Drosophila melanogaster: one gene and its partner. The protein of the gene in region 1 purifies or fractionates together with the protein of each later gene. This does not show direct contact. Each region holds a gene or a part of one and is shown in the gene's direction. Other genes may lie near its edges. The genes, in order: CG6610 and CG10418.

Evidence for each region.
Region 2: the proteins of CG6610 (region 1) and CG10418 purify together in Drosophila melanogaster (affinity purification with mass spectrometry, with the first as the bait; one large-scale study listed by BioGRID). This does not show direct contact.

What each region holds. Positions count from the first base shown.
Region 1 is NT_037436.4:6,070,599-6,081,100, forward strand, and holds CG6610 (uncharacterized protein), read left to right. Parts: upstream 1-4,937; 5' UTR 4,938-5,041; coding exon 5,042-5,090; intron 5,091-5,162; coding exon 5,163-5,359; intron 5,360-5,424; coding exon 5,425-5,454; 3' UTR 5,455-5,660; downstream 5,661-10,502. Other genes in the region: CG42269 (uncharacterized protein), read left to right, coding at 1-773; CG6602 (uncharacterized protein), read left to right, coding at 1,546-2,856; CG13295 (uncharacterized protein), read right to left, coding at 2,944-3,891, 3,950-4,374, 4,435-4,519; ssp6 (short spindle 6), read left to right, coding at 6,442-6,747, 8,321-8,683, 8,744-10,502.
Region 2 is NT_037436.4:12,327,874-12,338,278, forward strand, and holds CG10418 (uncharacterized protein), read left to right. Parts: upstream 1-8,802; 5' UTR 8,803-8,841; coding exon 8,842-8,844; intron 8,845-8,905; coding exon 8,906-8,973; intron 8,974-9,036; coding exon 9,037-9,253; 3' UTR 9,254-9,363; downstream 9,364-10,405. Other genes in the region: Lmx1a (LIM homeobox transcription factor 1 alpha), read left to right, coding at 1,597-2,380, 6,334-7,212, 7,287-7,546.

The sequences.
Region 1 (10,502 bases):
TGCGGCGAACTACTCTGCTGCTTATTGTTATCTGGATGGCCATATCCCTAGTCTTCGATGGACATGTGAGGAATGTGGGATCACTGGGTTTGGACATCTTCTTCACCTTCACCCTGGCCTGTTTCACGGAGCTGCCCGCCGATACTTTGCTTACGGTGATCCTGGATCGGTTCGGACGCCGTTGGTTGGCCTGCAGCTCCATGGTCCTTAGTGGAGTGTTCAGCTTATTGGCCACTGTGGTGCCCGTGGGCATATACTCCGCTGCCTTGGCCATCATGGGTCGATTCTTTGTAAACATTAGCTATAATATTGGTTTGCAATGGGCGGCGGAGGTCCTGCCCACTGTGGTTAGGGCGCAGGCAGTGGCCTTCATCCATATCATGGGTTATGTGGCCAGCATCATAGCACCATTTGTGGTTTATCTGGCCAACATTTCCCAAGCCCTGCCACTGATTATCCTTGGAATTTTAGGAATTATTGGTGGCTTATTGGCGCTCCTACTGCCGGAGACCCTAAATCATGTCCTGCCACAAACCCTTAGCGACGGTGAGGAGTTTGGACGTGGACAAAGCATTTGGGACTTCCCCTGTCTGGCCAAACAGGTGGACGACGATGAGGATGAAAAGAGAAACGCCGACGTGGAGGAGGTCCGATCTCAGGCTTTTGTGAGGGGAACCCAGACTGGAGCATCCCTGAATGCCTCAACGGGTGGAGAACTGAGATCTAGCATCCTGCGCAGATCGACCAAGTCACGCAACTCCACAAAGCTCTAAGATGTACGACTAGGTAATTAATTGTTACTTATAGCAGCCAATATTCTATAGATCTACCTTGCATTTTTAGCATCAAATAGCCTCTAAGTGTTGTTATAGACTTTTGTGATACTAGAAATAAGAAATTCTATGCGCCTCTACAAACAATAAATAAATTAAAAATATTAAAGAACCAAAAGTCCAGTTCCCCAATTATCACTCAACGAGAAACGGGTATAATGAGGGTAAGAAGTAGGTAAAATGCATGTTAATAACGAAATTTGTTACAGAACCCGGGTTCTAAACCGGAAATCAAATTCGGCTTCGAACCTTACAAACTCTAGAAACATTTTACATTTGCTAAAATTTTAAAAATAAGCCCAAGAATAAATTAATAGTATTAAAACGATTAACTTATAAAAAAAAAACAAATTATACTTTATTAATTCAAATAAAATACTAATAATAAAAATGGTAACACTAATAAAAATAAACACCTCCATAAATTTGTTTCTAATTTAGATCACCATCTCTAAGTACATCTTTTCGGCTATTTTAACGAAAAGCCCCGATAAAGTTATGCAATATATACACGCTTAACCGTTTATGATCATTGTGTTTATCAGCTTCTCTGCAAGTGCAAAATGCAATTAAACGTTGTATGCATTTATTGGCACAAGGGTCAACAACCAAATCCCCATGTAAATATCCGATTGAACTACAAATAAGTACCGATTCTCCACTTACCTATATAAGCGTCACCATTCGAGTGCATCCAACCAGTACAGCCAAAATGGCATCTTCATCCGCTTGGCTAGTCCTTCTCATGGGCATTGGCCTTTCTGGCGCCCTGGATTTGAATTTACAAAATAGCAGTAGCAAACTCTTGACGGTTCTCAACACATCTGCTCCGGTTCAAGAGTTGCTATACCACATCGATGTCTGGCGAAATGAGGCAGCTGCTGTGGCCCAGGATAATCCAACTTCTTCCAACCTGGAATCAGTAATTCGCTCTGAAGTTGGAGGTGACTGGGAGCGGGGTAGGCTAGTCCTTCAATTAGCGAATCAAGCCAGAACTTTGGAGCTCAAGCAGGCTATTTACACAGCGTTGTGGAAGGAGCTCCAGCAGACCAAGCAGATTTACGATCCCCTAAAGATTTTAGAATTTTATGACCAGCTGGCTGTGCACACTGATGTTCCACTCCAACTTATGGATCATATTTACCGGGCTTTCATCAGCCGAAGTGCCCAGTTATTGGAAGCTCCATTTCACACAGCCAGTCGATTGGCCACTTTTCCATTGGTAAACTCTCTGGTCAATCGTCTAACATTCAGCACTTTGGATTATCTGAGAGACATTCTGGAAGTTCTCTACGATGCTGTTTTGGCCCTAGAAACACCTTTAAGTGTAGTGCAGCGCCTGGGAAATTTAACGGCTAGTTTGAGGCAATTGGCTCAAGCTAATCTTCAATTACTTAGCAGGGAGGAACTCAAACGTGGAAATCCCGAAGTGCAAAAGGCCCTGCAGAGCAACATCAGAAATTTGCTTTCGCAGCCTGGGTTTGAAAAAGAAGTTGCAAAATCCCTCCAATCGGAAATCTATGCACACCTTCCGAAAGACGAGCAACTGCTGTACACCGCTCGAAAAGTATGCATCCGGAATGTGACTGAAGAAAATTCGTACATTTACGAATGCCCGCAGACGTACCTCATCTGCAGTAACGCTCGAGATCCAAAGAAGGCTGCGTATTTCATCCAACGTGGTCACAGTAACGACAGCCGGCCGCAATTTGCTTTTTATAGTGCCTTCTGGCGTAGTCGCTACATCCTCATGGAACCAGCCACTGCAATTGCGAGCAATGCAACCAACTCGATTACCAAAAACGTTTACAGCCGACCCAACATTAACTGGTGGAGAGTGGTATATGGAAATGGAGGGATTGCCTTTTACGATGCTGCCACTGAAAACTCTGTTCTGTGCGGTGGCGATCCTTTGCACTGGGATGGCGAGGAGCATCACGTCTACACAAGACATGCATCGGAGTTCTCAGCTCATCAGGCAGAGTGCACCTGGAGCCTCGAAGACTGCAGCGATGCCGCTTAACTGGAAGTGAGAAGGGATTTCAGACCATAATAACTATAAATTATTACTATGTTTATTTTGACTAATAAGGCACATGAGAAAATCCAACTACCTCTGCAGAAAATCCCAGGGTATGCACACAACGCCGTCGGTCAGTACCGAATAGTAGTGGGTTATGTGAAGCTTGCATCCCTGCAGTTCTTTCAACTGAAGCTGGTATAAATCTCTAAGGGATGTTATCATTTTATCCGGGGTTATGGCATCATCTTTGGTCAGCGATTGCAACTGTAGCTGCTTTATGCACGAGTCCATCAGCTCCTGCTCGATGTGCTTGTCCTGAGCGTACTTCTTCATACGCTCCCTGGCCAGCTCCAGATTTACACTGATGAAGTCTACGAGTATGGATCCCGGACAGGTGGCTGGTGTGATAAACTGGCCCGTAGGGCTTACCATCAGAGGACCTGCCTCTGATTCCACCACTATGGTAAACTCTTTCAGCGTTTTCGGCCATTCCGGCGGATATTTTTGTTTGCCCAGGTAATCGCTGAGCGAAGTGGTGACCTTCATGAGGTAGCTTGCATAGCCACTTGCCTGTTGTTTGGGCATAAACTTGCGACGACCTATCTGGATGTTCAGTAGAACCTGAGACAGTGTTCGTTCATACACGGGCACCACCTTTAAATAGGCATCGTGGTGCGGAATGTTCTTGATGAAGTCAATCCATGTGCTGAGAACATCACCAGTAAAAAGCATCACATGGCCTTCTAAACTGATGCCCGTAAAGGGAGCAAAAACCACTATGCGACCTTTCAGGGAAGCCATTTCCAACAAATGGGTGTTGGATAGTCGCTCAAGGGTCTTTAAACAGCCACGGTAGTGCTCAATGTTCCAGCCGCACTCGTAACGAGCATCTTGCAACTCCAGTTTCTCTACCAGCATTTTTTTCAGTTTGTCGATTTCGGCCTGCAGATCCGCAGTTTCCTTAGAGCGCTGTTTGGCTGTGCCAGCATTCTCTTCCAGCCAGGTGGTCAGCACTGGACGCTTACTGGCACGTTCCTGGGTTAAGGAAATAAGTATATAAATGGTTTTTTAAATTTCAAAATTATATACCAACATTCTTCAACTGAGTTTCAAACTCGGCGAACTCCATGTCATAGTGATAGTCATGGCTTGGTTTAAAATCCAAGCCAGAGGTTTTTGGCGGCTCAGGCTGGGCCTTAATGTTCTTCACATACTCCGTGGACAAGTTGCATGACTCCAGAAGACCTTGAATAAAGGTTTTGGGATCTCGGGTACTCTGCCAGTCCGTGCGTATTTGGATGAGCTTGAAGGAGTCTCGCTTGTCAGCATCTGAACTGGTGCGTACATAGAACTTGAGCACTTGGGTGTCCCCGCTTCGCTGTCTGCGTTCATACAAAGCCTCTAGATGCTCACTCAGCAATTTCAGTGAGTTCTCGTTGGTGTTCCTCTGCTCCGGATGCTGGGCAAAGAAGTCAGGATGCACCGCGAAGTAGAAGGGTCTCAGCGCCGTTGTCAGATCTGCAAAAGCGCCCAATCACATGATCATCCAAAAGTTGTGGCGCATTCAAATCAACTGACCTTGGTTCAGCGATCGGCGCAAAAGCAGGAAGTGCCGTCTGCTGGTGACCAATTTCCGGATCTTGGAGCCCAACGACATGGACATTATGTAAGCAGTGGGCGGCAGCACAACACTGCACCGCGTCACAGATGGCCAACATACGGGAGCACTGCCGCGAGATTAAGATTTTGGATATATAACTCCTGATCTTGAATTATGAGGTAAAATTGGTAGGACCGCGGCACTGAATGCCAAATATCCATTACTATCTGGGTAATAGTGGTGGCTGTTTGGGTGGGTGTTTTGAGGTCCCTCATGTTGACAAATTGTTCTTTAAATTCTTGCGATAAAATAGTTAATCTTGATAAGTTTGTCATAAAAAAGTTTTAATGAGTTTGTAATTAATAAATTAATTAGTTTTCAACGAAAACAAATGTTTTAATTAATTTTAAACGTTTAGCTATATTCACGCTAACTCTATCCACAAGATTTTGCAGCACTGACGCTGACACTTTTGATGTGGCCAGTTTTTGCGCAGAATTCCGCATTGTTTACCTCGCTGCTAAAAAGTTTTTAGCGCAATTCCAATTATTATTGTTAATAATAGTAAACAAATCATACGACAACATGACTGCCGTTCCACCCCCCTCCAACATCTCTACCCTAATGCCATTGGGTACGTAAATCTGCTACAGGTCTACAAATCGAGAGTTTCTAACTTTTGCCGGCTTCCCGTACTACCCTACAGAATTGGTGGACAAATGCATCGGTTCCCGCATCCACATTATCATGAAGAACGACAAGGAGATGGTGGGAACTCTCTTAGGATTCGATGACTTTGTGAATATGCTCTTGGACGACGTAACGGAGTATGAAAATACCCCCGACGGCCGCCGCATCACCAAACTGGATCAGATTCTGCTCAACGGGAACAATATCACAATGGTGGGTGCTCTTTTTCGAAGTTACATACGTTTGTTTATTAAATTTCATTTATAATTTGATTTCAGTTGGTGCCTGGCGGAGAGCTGGCGGAGTAGCAAGGTTCCATTTGTAAACATAAATACATTTGTAAAATATCAAAACGGTCGTTTTAATGTGGATAATATTGTGTCGTATGTAAATGTTCGAGGTATGTTAGAAGTTAGCAGTGGTCAAGTGATTAACAGCAATGTTAACAGATTTTTGGTCCTAACAGATACGAATTTGAAAACGCTTGGCTTAGGAAATGAAAATTATTTGCCCTCTAATCTCAGAATAAAACACTATATAATATTACCTAATATACAAAACATTGTTAAATTATCAATTGGAATAGAATTAATTTTACATAAATAAGCATATTTTATGCTTATAGGGACCGGATACACTTGAAATGGAATACCGAAAAAGGTCGACCGCTAATAATTCTGTAAAATGACTTCCAAGCTTCAAAAATTCAAACTTCACATTAAATATTTAGTGTCTTTCCGTTAACATTCAACCGCTACTTGTGCTCTGGCTGCCATGCAAAGTAGGCGCATGCGCTCCATCCCCAAAATGTTGGGTCTCAGCGATACAGCAGTCAACATGTGCCATAAATATTAACCGCTTTTCCCTTCTGGCCGTGCGTGTGGGTGCAGTGCACTCTCCGCAGTACCGCTCTGCTCTGCGTGCGTTCTCCCGCTTCCGTTCGGCACCTCCAGCGTTCAGTACGGCAGCAGGCTTCGACGGAAGTGGAACAAACCAAGCGGAAACAGACTCACGCGACAACAAAACCGAACCGAACTCGAATATGGAAAACTTTTACCCAGAACCGATATAGCACTGATAAACGCAACTCGGAGTGAACTTTATGAATGGCCATGACTAATTGCAGTCATCTAGCAGCAGCCACAGTCGATGTGTGAACTTCAGTGGTGAAGGTTGTCCGGTTTTGCAGCGAAAGATACCCGTGTTTCGGTATCTGTATCTGTCGGTGTCTCATTTGAGCGGCTCGAATGATCCGCCTGTAATTATGACTGCGTGAAGAAATCAATAAGTGGAGGATGGCCAGCAAGCCCATGAGCACCAGCTGCCAAAGCATTGCGACGGCGGCCAGCAGTGCGGCCACCACGGCGGCAGCGGTGTCCATCTCGGCCTCCAATGCCACCTCTGTAGGCTCCCTCATCGCCGCCGCCTGCCAGCAGGAGCAGCCACATCCCCACCAGCACTATTCCCAGTCCCAGCAGCAACACCTCTATCATCAGAGCCATCAGCAAGCGTCGCACTATGTCAATGGCACCGGCAGCTTGGGCAGGCTCAAGTTCCACAAGAGTCTCGATGCCAGCGACGAGGAAATCGAGTATGCGCAGGTATGTCCAAGTGGCCAAGTATCCAACTGCTAGTCGGAATCGTCTCCAACTGAATTCAATTGTGCCCCACACTGAGTCATAATAATGCGACAAGGTCCTGCACTGCTGGCTCAATTGAATTTGTCTTGTGGGTGGTGGCGGTGTTGGGTGGTGTGTGATGGATGGTGGTTGCTTGCTGCCTTGTTGAGTGGGTGTACTTGGGGGTGGTTTGCGCAACCTAGCTCCCATCCCAGTGCATTTGCTGCCCCCACAGCTGTTTAACCCACCAGCCGGGTCGTTATGCATAGTTTACGCTTCGCCAGGCAACCTCAACAGCCGCCAACAACCGCCGTCGTCGATCAAGTGTTAATAATTCAATGCCCCGGAAATAGTCATATATTGAAATATATCGTACACCCTGCGAGCAGCTTAGTCCCTGCAAGGGCCTTGACTTTGGCCAAGGCAATTTGAAAAATTAACCAGTTGGATTAATTTATGGGTCACTAAATGAAAGGGGCATGTTTGCGAGCATGCCATATTTACAGCACCATTAATGGGGAGCTCGGTCAAAATTTCTACTAAAGTCACGATATGAGCCACAATATAAAAATGAATGCAGTTAATACAGCTTTAATTTGAGGACTACACCTAAACACAGTTTTTACTAGAATTAATGGAATTAAACTTACATACTCAAATGAATTAAACCGTTCATAAGGCAGAAACGATGAATTCGTGCACCATTTTTTTTATAGTTTTCTAACTCATTTTCTCCGCGTTTTCTTTTTTAATGAAAATCTTTACAATTTCATTTAAAACGGGCACTGTATTTCTGTACATAATGCCATACAATTTGCTCTTCCTTGCCGATGGCATTATAGTCGGCGGGAGGTCTGTTCTAAAGCCTTTCAAGCCAGTTATTACGCCCGCACAAAAAAGCGTTAATGAAAGAACTGTGCTGTGTCTCTATACTTAGCATGTTGTATCTAAAAATAGGTGTCATCGATATAAATATAAAAATATTATTAGTACACTTGTTTATACCATGAACTTTTCCGAAACTTTAAGCTTGACTATCTTACAAATATTGTTTTTTGTTTTATTCTACTACCAACTTGTTAATCCGTGGAAATGGCTTGCATGGTATTATTTTGTCCGTACCTGTATTCTGGGTTGGTTTGCTTTTCCCTATCTAACCCGCTTTCCTTTCGGGGGGGCAGTGAAAGTGTTGCCTGCTGGGGGCTTCATCCTGTATTCATAGAAATGCTTTCAATAAAAGCAGGAAGAACAGTAGGGACGAAGGAATGGGCTTGGCAAACATCATTTTGATGGTTTGCACCACCACACCTGGCGGCTATTTGGTGTGCCACATTGCCTAGACGTGCAAATACCCGGAAGTGCCAACGATAGTTTAGCATATAAGCTTTTCACTTTCACCGCAAATCAACACATTCCTTTCACAGATAGAGAGCACAGCTCTCCAATGGCCAATGTGGTTTGAATTGCTATAGAGAATTGCGTTCTTGCTAAAGGAATTCCATATTATTGTACAATATTACATATTATGCACGTTTAATATTTAATGACATTCCAGTTATCCCGTTCTACCCATATCCTTGGGCGCCACAAATCCGAGCGATATCTGGCCTCCAATCCGGACGAGGACCGAAGACGTCGCACCATAATCGTTGAGAAAAAGAACAACTCGTATGGATTCACGCTGCAGAGCTACGGGATCCACTACAAACGGGATGAGGAGCTGGAAATGATCACATACGTGGACTACGTGGAGTACGGAGGTCCGGCCTATCGAGCTGGCATGCGTGAGGGAGACGTAATCCTCTCCATTAACGGAAAAGATATGGAGAAGGCGGACCACAAGACCATCGTCGAGTTCATCAAGCAATGCGACACCAGGATGAGAATGGTAGTGCTTTTCGAGGACTGTGTGAGGAAGGTAAAGTATTTAAAGGATAGAAAACTAAAACGTATTTCTGATAAACGTGTGATTCCCCAGGTGGATCTCCACATGCGCTACATCCAACTGCAGAGCATGTTGCAGCAAAAGATGAACGAACTGGAGAGGGTACACCTCAGAGAGCGTGAGTTATTGGAGGGCAAGTGGAAAACGCACAGTTTGCCAGCGCGTAAGAAGGCCAATGCGAATACTTCGCCCAGTGATGGAGAAGGAGTATCACCCACAGAGGTGGCTGGTGAAGCTGGCTTCTACCGACCCGCTTTGTCCACCGAGGATGTGCCCAATATTGCCGCCCGCCAGCATGGGGTCGGTGGCCCAGGAATCATACCTCCTCCCGCTCAATTTATGCTCACCTACCACTACCTGGATCCCACATACCGCTACGTCCTGCGACCCACGCACGGCAGCTCAGAGGAATTCGTTGACGGATTGGGTCTTCAGCGGAGCAGTAGTGATCACCAGCCGCCGGCACAGCGCTATGTCCTCCAGCAAACCGAATCTGTGGATGCAAATTCGATGACTCAACCCACAACAACGGCTCCTACCCAATATCACAGCACCACGGGTGGATCGGTGAAGCCACCCGCACCACCTCCTCGCACCTGTGAAAAGCACAAGCCACCTGCTAAGCCACCAAAGCCAGAGAAAGAAAAGTCATCGGGCAAGCATTGCCATGTGGGACACTCGTGCAATCCCTGCTTGGGTCACTTTCGCTGGAAGTCGGCGGAGAAGTCAGCTGTTCCGGCGCCGGATAACGTGAGCTTGGATGCCTATGATCTGGCCAGTCCGTGCTGCGATACACATTGTGTGCCATCAAGAAGACGTCATCGGCAGCATAAGGAGCACACGCATAAGCACAAACATCGTGACAGGGAACGGGTGGAGAGCAAGGAGCAGAGGGTCAGACCCAAGTCCACATCCCATGCCTCACCCAATGCCAACGGGGGTGCAGGATCTGGACATCACCACCATCATCATCATCACCATCATAGCCATGAGCAGCAGCAGCAACAACAGCAACAACAACAGCAGCAGCAGCAGCAACAACAGCAGCAGCAACAACAACAGCCCATTCAGACTGTTCCGCACCACCACCACTATCCCCACCAGATGCACAATCCCTGCCAGGTGCAATCCCAAAGTGGTAGCACCCGATCCCGCTACTTCGACTTGGCATCCGGCTTAGCCAGCCACTGTAGCTTACATTCCTGCACCTCAAGTGAGTTTGCTACAGGAGACACAGCTTCATATACCACATCCATAAGTACGGATACTTTGTTTTGGGATCCCACAAGTGAGACGGCTCAGTCCCGACAGCACTCCACAAAATCCAGGCAGTCCTACGAGCAGCAGCCACAACAGCAGCAGCCAACTCACCAGGGACACCACCACCATCATCATCACCAGGGGGATTACCACCAACGATATCATGTGACCACCACACAAATGCAACCGCAGCAGATCTATCCCAACACTATAGCCTATGTCCAGAAACCAAAATCCTGGGACAATCTAGCCAACAAGGCGGGCTTTAATGTGGGTTACGGTTACCTTGACACTGTGGCCGTTAAGCCAGCCATAAAAATGCAAATTGCCCAGCAGCGTCACTCGATGCCGCGAAGGAACCCGTACGGCAGATACTCCACTTACGGCGATGTGGAGAACTATGCCCCACCGCCCACCGAGTTTGTGGGCGAGCTGACCACCACCACAACCACCACAATTACGGCCAAGTCCACGGAGGAGCTGTTGGCCGCCTGCGATTGCTTGACGCCTCAGCAACAGGCTGCCATTAAGG
Region 2 (10,405 bases), 6.3 Mb from region 1:
CAGGGTGACATTGCCACTTCCGCTTTAAATCGCTGGAAATTAGAGGGGTATGAGCATTGAAAACTTAATAAATCTTAAATCTTGCTTAAAAGCAACTTTTATTTAATTTAAAGATATTATCGGAATAAGAATTCTATAAATGTAATTTCATAAAAGAAACTTATTTTTATGAAGTCTTACAACTTTGAAAACTGCTTAAAAAAGATTGATTTTGAAAAGAAATAAATAAACATCTTTTCTCTTTGAGTAACTACAATAAATAATGTCTTGAATCAATTATAAAGAGATTATACTTCAGTTTTACTAAGTTCTTTAATAATACTATAGTCACAGACTTAATCTTCACTTTTACAGTAGACATAATAACATTAATGGAATAAAATGTATGGAAATCATTATCCAGAATTCAAAACTAGTTCATTTAAATTTTAAGAATCCTTTAAGAATTTCAAAAAACTTTTGTTGTGAGACATTAGGTCCTTAAATAACCTGCCCAATGTATTGAGAAGCACCCGTTCCCATCTTGTTTATCGCCAACTTTTTTCACCCGCAAAAAGTAAAATGCAAGTGCAAAAAAGCGTAAAAGAAGACAAGGCCATTGTTTTTTTCTGCCTCTACTGCTGCCACTGCTGTGTTTGTTGCCTTTGTTGTTGCTGGCATTCTGGTCCAGTCGTGCCACTCAAAGAGCCAACAGCAGCAGCAGCAACAACTCAAGGAAATTGTCGCCGTCGAGCGGCAAACTCGCCAAAGTTGCCGCGAGTGCAAGTGCAAGTATGTCTTTGTGCCCCATCAGCAGCAGCAGCAGCGGCAGCAACACCAGCAACAACCAGCAACATGCAGCTGCCGCACGCCCACCGATGGCCGCCCACAAGCCGACTTGGTCTTGCATTAAAGCCAAGACATCTACGAATATGAGAAAACCAAATATAAAAAAAAACAAAAGAAAAGAAAACCCGCACTTCCCCTGCGCACATGCGCCGTGCGGCAAAATGGACGCCGGGGAAATGGCCAGCCAATCGCAGCGAGGCTGAGGTGTGGCCAGCGATTTGCGAGGGACTTGCTCTCTGCCAGAATTTCCCTCGCTGCTAATAATCACTTGAGACATGCGCACTGCCGGGGCAGAGAGGGGGTTGCTGCAACCCTTGCACCGATACAACCCCTGGCATCACGTGCAACACGAAGAGCTGCTGTTGTTGCCGCAGGCCAAGCGGCAGTTGTTGCTCCGCAGCTCCGTTGCTCCGTCGCTCCGTTGCTTTTGTAAACAGGCGCAGGCGCAGTGCGCGGGGGTACGTTTCAGCTGGGATTTTTTTTTTTTTTTGTGAGGGCAAAGTGAAATGCTTTGATTTCGCTGATGGTTCGATCACACGCCAACTGACAGCGAACGCGGCTGGTTGTCCTCGCATTCGGCAGCGCAAGAATAGGCCACCGAAATCATATTCTAAACGAAACTGAACAGAAGCGTAGTTAAAGTTAAAGCAAAAGCAATCGAGCGTCTTGTTTGTGTGTCGCGTGTTCCTTGTGCGGTGTTGCATGTGACATTTTCGTAGACTCGAAACTAAAAAAGTAACAGCGGTGTTTTGTGGCAACTCGTATACGATGCTGGAGTTCTACCCAATGCCCACGAATCTGAATCCAGTCGGTGGCAGTTTGTACTCGCTGCAGCAGAATCATGGCGGCGCGCGATTCCTGGACAATCCAAATCCCGGCAGCATGACTGCCAGCAGCGGCAACTCCCTGCATCTTAGCAATAGCAACAACAATCTGCCAACAAGCATTTCCGGCAACAATAGTCCCACGGCAACGGCTTCATTAACGGGGCAGCATCAGCAGCACCAGCAGCAGCAACATCAGCAGCAGCAGCAACACCCCCACCAGCAACATCAGCAACACCAGCAGCAACACGCTGCCTCGACCACGCCAGTGCCAATTAACAGCTGCCCCACGCCCACAGGACACAGCCCCCTCAGCAGCAGCAGCAGCAACAGCAACCACAACAATAACAACAACAACAACAACGGGGGCAGCAGCAGCAACAACCTCCACTCAGCCTGCAACACATTAACAGCTGCTGCTGTTGCCGCTGCCTCTGCCGCTGCTGTGGCAGCTCCATCGCCAGCAGGCACCTCAGTAGCCACCTCGCAATTAGGCGGAGCAGTTGCTGCGGCGATTGCTGCTGCTGCTGCGGCGGCTGCCGCTGCGACGACACCCACATCGACGGGCCCAGCGGCCACAGGAAGCGGAAATGCAAATGGCAGTGGCAACGGAAACGGAAATGGCAATGGCAATGGAAACGGGAATGGAAATGGGAATGGAGGTGGTGCAGCAACGGCATCGGCAGCAGCGGCATCCAAATTGTCTGCCGATTGCAGCGGACGCACAGGTATGTTCCAAAAGTATTTTGCACCGGCAGTCGAGCAATTTACCGGCTCGTTCCTCTTCTGGGGTTTTCACGCTTTTCGTTTTTGGCATACTTGCGTGTGCCCGGCCTGCGGGTCCGTTTCTGTATCCGCATCAGCATCCGTATCCGTGTCCAGGTTCGGTGCTGCGCTGCGTGAGTTCCAAGCTGGTCGGACGAGGCTCCAGATTGTGTACAACCACCCACACCTGAGTATGCCGGCAGTTTGCGTGCGATGTGCTCGGCTTTTTGGGGCCCAAGGAATGCTTCTCTAGGGGAAAATATATAGATATTCGTTGTTTTTTCTTGCGAATAAAGTTGAAGTGCTTATTTCAAAAGGTGTTTACTCCTGAAACTTTTCTTTAAGCGGAATATTTCAGCATTTATTGATTGCAGTAAAAATTAGCGTATATATTCATAACATTAAAATAATATAAGAGAAAAGTATTCTTCATATTAATTAGCCTAAAATCAAAAGTAAATAATAATTTAAAAAACATTAAATAAGAATGTTCTTATTTGTTACTAGTTTGCTTTTAGTTTGCAGAATGCAAGTAAAGTCAATTTGGTTAGATATATCATAGGTTTTGTTAATTATTATTGTATCAATATTAGCATAAATCCATGTTTAACTTGGAACTTAATTGCAACTCAGCTTTCAAAGAGTTGGATTTACTTTTTAGCAAGTGAAATAGCCAGAGGCAGATTGTCCACTTATGTAAAAACAGGCAAAAGCAAATGCACAATTTCCGGCTAACACGTACATATATATTGACAGAGGACAATAAATTATGAATTTGTAGTTGTGATGGCGCACACATGTTGTGGATAGTTCAGTGGGCGGATGTGCGGCAAGCATGGCGAAAGTATTTCCAAAAGTATGAACGCAAGTTGACCACAAAATAATTTTGACAATGAACCTGTCTGACATCCGCCCGGCACGGCCAAAAAGAGGCGTGGCTCGACCAATAAAAGGCTATTAAAGCATGCCACACACTGCCTCCCTCCCACACACACACACACACACACACTGATGCTTTGGCATGCAGGCACACATACACACACACTCGCATGCATGACAGCCTCAAAATAGGCAACACTTTTCAGCTGAGTTGCAACGAAAGTGTTGCTGGGGAAAACTTTTGCGAATTTCCCTCCGAAATGCAAAGTGTGCAAACAATGTGTGTGATGCATATGCAGACCAGACCTCGTCCGAGGCTAAGTGGATTGTGTTTTCGGTTTTTTAGTGCCCCTCATCCGCCCACTCAATCGCCCACAATAGCTGTGCTCTCTTGCCGGCCAACTTTGCATTTGCCTATGAAATTTCTATTAATGCTCGCATTCTGCCATTTGCTATTTGCCATTTGCCATTGCCCAAATGGCAGCAAATAGTTTCCGTTTCCGCTCGTTCCGTGCCACTACCCCAATCCACACACCACTCCCCGCCTCTCATCCTAAGCTCCATTTTCCTCGGCAAACACTTGGATGCCGGCTGCTAAACTACTATCGGTGGCCCACACTTTGCAGAGGTCGAGGAATTTCGAATGGGCTGCCATTGGGGGTGGTGTGCACTCGGGGGCAGACCACGGAAATGAGCACACTCAGTGTCAGGTATTCCACCGAGCGTATCAGCATACATATTTGGCTTCTGCGGTGGCTCCAGCTTCGTCTTCCTGTCCTACCCACAAACCCCACCCACCCAATCGCCAGTAGGTGTGCATTTGTGTGGCGGAAGTATGCGCCATACGCATAGTTCTGTGTCACTTTCCGTTGAGATCCAGCTACACTGAAACAAAACTGCTATTCAAGAACTATACGGAAAATCCACTGGAACTCACAAAGAGTACTACATTTGAGTTTAGAATGCAAAAGTCAATATATTTTGCAATCCCTATTTGTAATTTGATTAAATCTGTATCTTACATTTTAAAAGAGTAGTTTTTGAAGTTCATCCTATTTTATTCATTATTTTATATTATGATTAATACCATTTCCATGGTGTAGATAGCAACGAAGAGTTTTAAAGACCCTGTTTGTTTGTCAGTCGAAATGAAAGCTGTCGAATTATGAGCTGCCTGTCAACGATGAACTGCTGCCAAAATCCGCGTGGCACGTGGACTGGACTCCAGTTAGTGGCCGAATTAGTGCCAGAAGTTGGGTGCTGTCTGCCGATTTATCTCCATATAACCCCGCCCCGCTGTCAATGTGTCAATAAATGCACCATATAGTGCGACAATCGTGGGGCGTTCGGGCAGATAAGCCCCTTTATCGGCGATAACGACGAGGACACTTTTCTCTATTAGTTCTATGTTTATCGTCGAGTTGATTTTGGATTTATCTGCTGTTTAATCTATGTATTTGACATGAGTGTGCCGCACTTGTTCCGACTGTTTGCGCTTGTTGTTTGTTGATTTTTGGACAAGTTTCGCCCAGGCTTTACCATTCAAGCCCAAAAACACACACTCACTCAATGCAGAGTCCTTTGTTGGCCAAAACAATACAGAGAAATCGGAAAAAAAGCATACATAAAACTGCAGTAAAATGCCATAAATTTCGATTAGATTACACAAACGAAATCCCGTCACAATATCGATGCTCAAAGCTCTACAAAAACATGAGGCCAAACTCAAAACGCAGCTCCCCTCTGGGGTTTATCAAATGAATCATTCTTGATTTTTTGCTCGGCCCATGCAAAAACCTTTATCGCCAATGCGATTGGATATGGATACTGCACAATAGGATGAAATGCAAGCCAAAAAACAGAAAAAAAAGGAAAATAGGAAAATGCCCGAGGACATTGTCAACTTTCCGCTGCACTGGCTTAGCGCCCCCTTACATAGGGATTTTCGTCCCTATTCCCAGACTATATATCACCCATACAGCCACATTCGCGTAGATATGGCGACTGTGTGCGTTTGTGTGTGTGGGGAGGCCATTGTGCCAACCATAAATCATGCACATTTTTCTGCCACTGAGCCACAGCCATATAATATAACACTCCACTTCCATTGCCAGTTTCCCTCCGCACTTTTTCTCCACTTTCCCTCCGCACTTTCCCAACTCGCTGCTCATTTTTCAAATGCTTCCATACATTTTTCGTGGCGGTCGTCATATATTTTTTATGTTTACTGCATGCAGCTTTTGTTGTGTTTTTCGGGTACTACTTTTTATGACTGGTTTACAGTTTCAAGAGCTCCGTCTACGGGAGGATTAGGTTCGTTCTACTTTGGGTAAGGCGAGCTGAAATCCAGTAGCTCCTCAATGGGAGATTAGCATTTTTTAAGGGACTTTGTTTAGGAGTTAAGCTTTGGCTTAAGTTCGGTGGTATATACAATATCAATTGAGCCATTTTCTGGCATGTTTATATACATTGATAATCGAGATGGGGGGCTGTTCAATAATACCGAACAAATACGGAAAACTTTACGTTTCAATTACGCATCAATAAGCTTTCAATACAAGCTGTTGCAGTCCGACGACAGATAATTTTTTCCAGCGAAGAGTTTTCCTTCTGTTTTTCCATCGAAAGTGCGAAACAGCGAACGGAAAAACAAGAGAGACGTTGAAGCATTTTCACACGATTCGATTGTCAGCGCGCTCCTTGCTCCATTGGCAGCACATGTCATGATAATTTCGCAGCGACATGTGCCGCCATCACGTATACGCCACGTACGCCCATCACAGTAGGGCGAATAAGCGGAGTTACACTGGAACAAAATTACTAAAGTATTAGGATTCTTCTTTGAAATATTTCTGTTCTCAAGAAAATGTTTCATATATATTTTCCAAGTATGGGTTAAATATTCGATTAAATTGATTATTAATGTAGATAGATATATTTATTATATTTTAAACCTCAGTGTATTAGTTACTTGAAATGTATTCTGCGACTTACTAACGCGACTTTTTTCCCCCATCTTTGCTTGTTTCATCCCCAGAAGTGGGCCACATCAAGTGCGAGAAGAACTTCGAGCTGTGCGAGGGCTGTGGCCAGAAGATCCATGACCGATTCCTGATGAACGTGGGCGATGCCAACTGGCACGAGCAGTGCCTGGCCTGCTGCTACTGCGGAATGCAGCTGCACCACACCTGCTACGTGCGCAACTCGAAACTCTATTGCAAGATGGACTACGACCGGCTGTTCGGTGTGAAGTGCTCCTCCTGCTGCCATGCGATCCTGCCGCAGGAGCTGGTAATGCGACCCATACCGAACTTTGTCTTCCACCTGCCCTGCTTCGTTTGCTACGCCTGCCGATTGCCGCTCCAGAAGGGCGAGCAGTTCATGCTGCGCGATGGCCAGCTCTTCTGCTATCGTCACGATCTGGAGAAGGAGATGTTTCTGGCAGCCGCTGCTGCTCAGCACTGTGGGTTCGTTGGCCTGGACGAGGAGGATTTGCTGAGGCCACGGGATGGAAGGAGAGGTCCGAAACGACCACGCACCATCCTCACATCGCAGCAGCGCAAACAGTTTAAGGCCTCCTTCGATCAGTCACCCAAACCATGTCGCAAAGTGCGCGAAGCCCTGGCCAAGGACACCGGCCTATCGGTTCGTGTAGTGCAGGTGTGGTTCCAAAATCAGCGCGCCAAGATGAAGAAGATTCAGCGCAAGGCCAAGCAGAATGGTGGCTCCGGCGGAGGATCGGGCAGTGGGCGTGGCACGGGCAATTCCAGCGCCACCGACGATAAGGACACCAATGACAAGGAGGACAAGTGCGTCAAGCAGGAGCTCGGAGGAGATAGCTCCGGTTATTTGGGTGGATTGGACAGCACTTTCGCCAGCCAGCCGCTGAATCCCAATTTGCCCTTCTCACCGGATGGTAAGTGGTTCGATTTGAAGTTTGATTTCGTCCAAGCATTATTCTACAAGTACTAATGGCTTGCTTTTCAACAGACTATCCGGCCAACTCGAATGACAGCTTCTGCAGCTCGGACCTCTCGCTGGATGGGAGCAACTTTGACCAGTTGGATGACGATGCGGACTCGCTGTCGCTGAACAACCTGGAGCTGCAGTCCACCAGCTCGTCGGGCAACCAGCACTCGCACTCCCACTCGAATCCCCACGACATGCTGGCCAACCTGAACAACAGCCTGATAAACCCCATCGACAAGCTGTATCTCATGCAGAACTCGTACTTCAGCTCGGAGCATTAGATGGCCATTGGCTGGAATGACAGGGAAGCACCGAGGCGATCGTGGGATAGAGACGAATTTATTAGCGTTAGAGTGGCAGGATCCGATGGAAAAGGGACGCGAGGTCCTTGCTGTTACTTTAAAACGTAGCGCGTAGTTGGCACCTTCCGCATTCGGCGCATTAAGTTGGAGTCGTAGAACCGGATACAAGATACATCAAATGTGATTTTTTTAAGCTAATTGAAATTTTAAGATTCTTGGCGATTTGAAGGCGCAGAAAAACGGGGCGGGCAGCACATCTTTTTGTTGGTATAGACTCTAGAGGCAAACCAAAAAAAAAAATGTATAACTCCTTGAGAAATGGCAAAGTGGTCAATGCGCCCTCTTATGTTTGTAAATAGTTTTAACCACCCGAGAAAATTGTTATTAAATGTAATTTAAAAGTCAATAATTGTATTAGCAAGTGCAATTTAATCTGTTCCCCTAAAATATACATCTTAACCGAATTCTTGCAAATGTCTGTGGATCTTATCTTCGAATTAACGGATGCGTTCAATATTTTAAATGGGTTGGGATTGACTTGCGATTGTTAATATTTTTATTTCGCATGATTTTCCTTTATTTCTTATTTTTTATCCTTCGTCTTTTATCGGTAATATCGTCTCTTATTTTAAAAAATTAATTTTTTTTTTATATAATTGTAAGAATATTTATTTATTTATTTCGTATTTATTTACACAGCCTAATTTATTTTAAATTTTTTATTTGCCGTATTATCGAAAAATCCATTTAAGATGCGTTGATGCTTGATAATAAATAAAGAGCACAATAACTAAAAAGAAAACTTATTGCGTTTACTGTATTTACTCGACTGCGAATATATACACCTTTTTTTTGTGAATACTATGAATGCCTTAGTAAAGCTTCATAAATTGACCGAAATATATTATTTAAAAACCATATTTTTTTGCCCGCCAAAATGCTGCCCGTACAAAGCTGGCTTTTATGAAACTCGACCAATAGCGACGACAAAGCGTTGCCACATGGATAGAAATAATTAACAGATGGCAGCTCAGCTACTGCTTAATTCCTTTTAAGCCACACAGTTTAAAGATTTAATATACATTAATTTTTGATCAAATTTTATGAAAGTAATATTTATAAGCCAAATGTTAATAGAATATCGTTACTCACAATCACACATGAAATGTATCGATATGTATTTTTTAAAACAGCGATCGATAGTTTTTTATTTTTACAGTGCACATCTCTAAAAAAAAACAACGCGTTCGTCGAAATTGCAATAAACAATAACAATGGTACAAAACCGAAATAACTGTGAATTTAAGAATTAACATTAACGCTTTATGTAATCTGCAGCTCTTTTACTCCTTCTTCAAGTCGCTGGTGGGCAAGGAAGTCGTTGTGGAGTTGAAAAACGACCTCAGGTGAGATTCGTTTATTTGCCGGTAAATTGAGGAATTTTTAATACTTTCTTTATAATTAAACAGCATATGTGGCACCCTGCACTCGGTGGATCAGTACCTGAACATCAAGCTGACGGATATCAGTGTCACAGATCCGGACAAGTACCCCCACATGCTGAGCGTCAAGAACTGCTTCATCCGTGGCTCCGTGGTGCGATACGTGCAGCTGCCGGGCGACGAGGTGGACACCCAGCTGCTCCAGGATGCGGCGCGAAAGGAGGCTGTTGTGAGCACAAGATAAGAATACCACTACCAGCAGCCCAATTGGATCTACCCATTGCTTCGTAAACTGTCCTAAAAACCTAAGTGAAATTCTGTTAAAGCAAAACCAATAAGAGGAATCCCCGTATTAAGTCGCTATGTACGTTATTTACGGCCCATCAGTTTTCGATGAGTCAGTCTCGAGGTTACCGTGGGTGCTGCTCCCTACGCTTGCGCAAATGTCCCAGCTTTTATCGCTCCACGCTTGAATGGAGCCAGTAGAGCCAAGTGTGGCTTGTGGGCCAAATTTTGTGTCATGTTGATAATGGTCCATAAATTTGTATAATTGCTGTGACGATGTACTGGCTGTCTGAATGTCTGGATGCCTTGTCTACACATCACCGGATACACGGACTCATTCATACAAGGTTTCCACAATGGGTTGCTATATCACACGACTATACTCGTATGTACTTGCAGCCCGTTTTACGATTGTGATTGCTATTATGGCCCGGCCCTCGAATTCAACCTTTTATCCGCAATAAAATGGAGGAGCCTGGCGGAATGCTTTTAATTTTCTGGACCTCGACCCGCTCCTTAAGTGCCTCTTCGCCAGCCGCCATCGAATGGCTTTGTTTGCTGGAATTCGTACTTAAAATAAAATACGCATTCGTGGAACACTTTTCGCTCGGCATTTACATTTCGGAATGGCCAGGGAATCGCGTTCTAAACTTTGGCAGTTGGTCAGCGGAACATCACGAAATATCGATCCATTAAAAGTTGAAGGGCTACAGGCAGAAAAAAAACATAGCTACTTCGAATATAATGTTACCAAATTTGATTGTAAATAGAATTTTTATAAACAAATTATTGCCATCCTAAGCTAGTTCGCTTAGCAACATATATTCCTTTTTAAGCTTGATGTCATTATTAAAAAAAAATAGCTTGACATCAGAATCTTTACCTTGTAATATTCCACTTAATTGAATTTAAATGGTACCAGAAACCGGAAGTTTATCGCTGAAATTATCCTCCCTTTTTTATTACATTTTTGAATGGTTATAGTCAGAATTTTTTGGTCAGTGCTAAGGACTCGTAGCTCGTCTGACTGCGCATAATTGAAGGGGGAAGTTAAGTCCAGCCCAGCGGAGTCCATCTTTCATTATTTGTGGTAATTGGGTTCCTGTTTCCG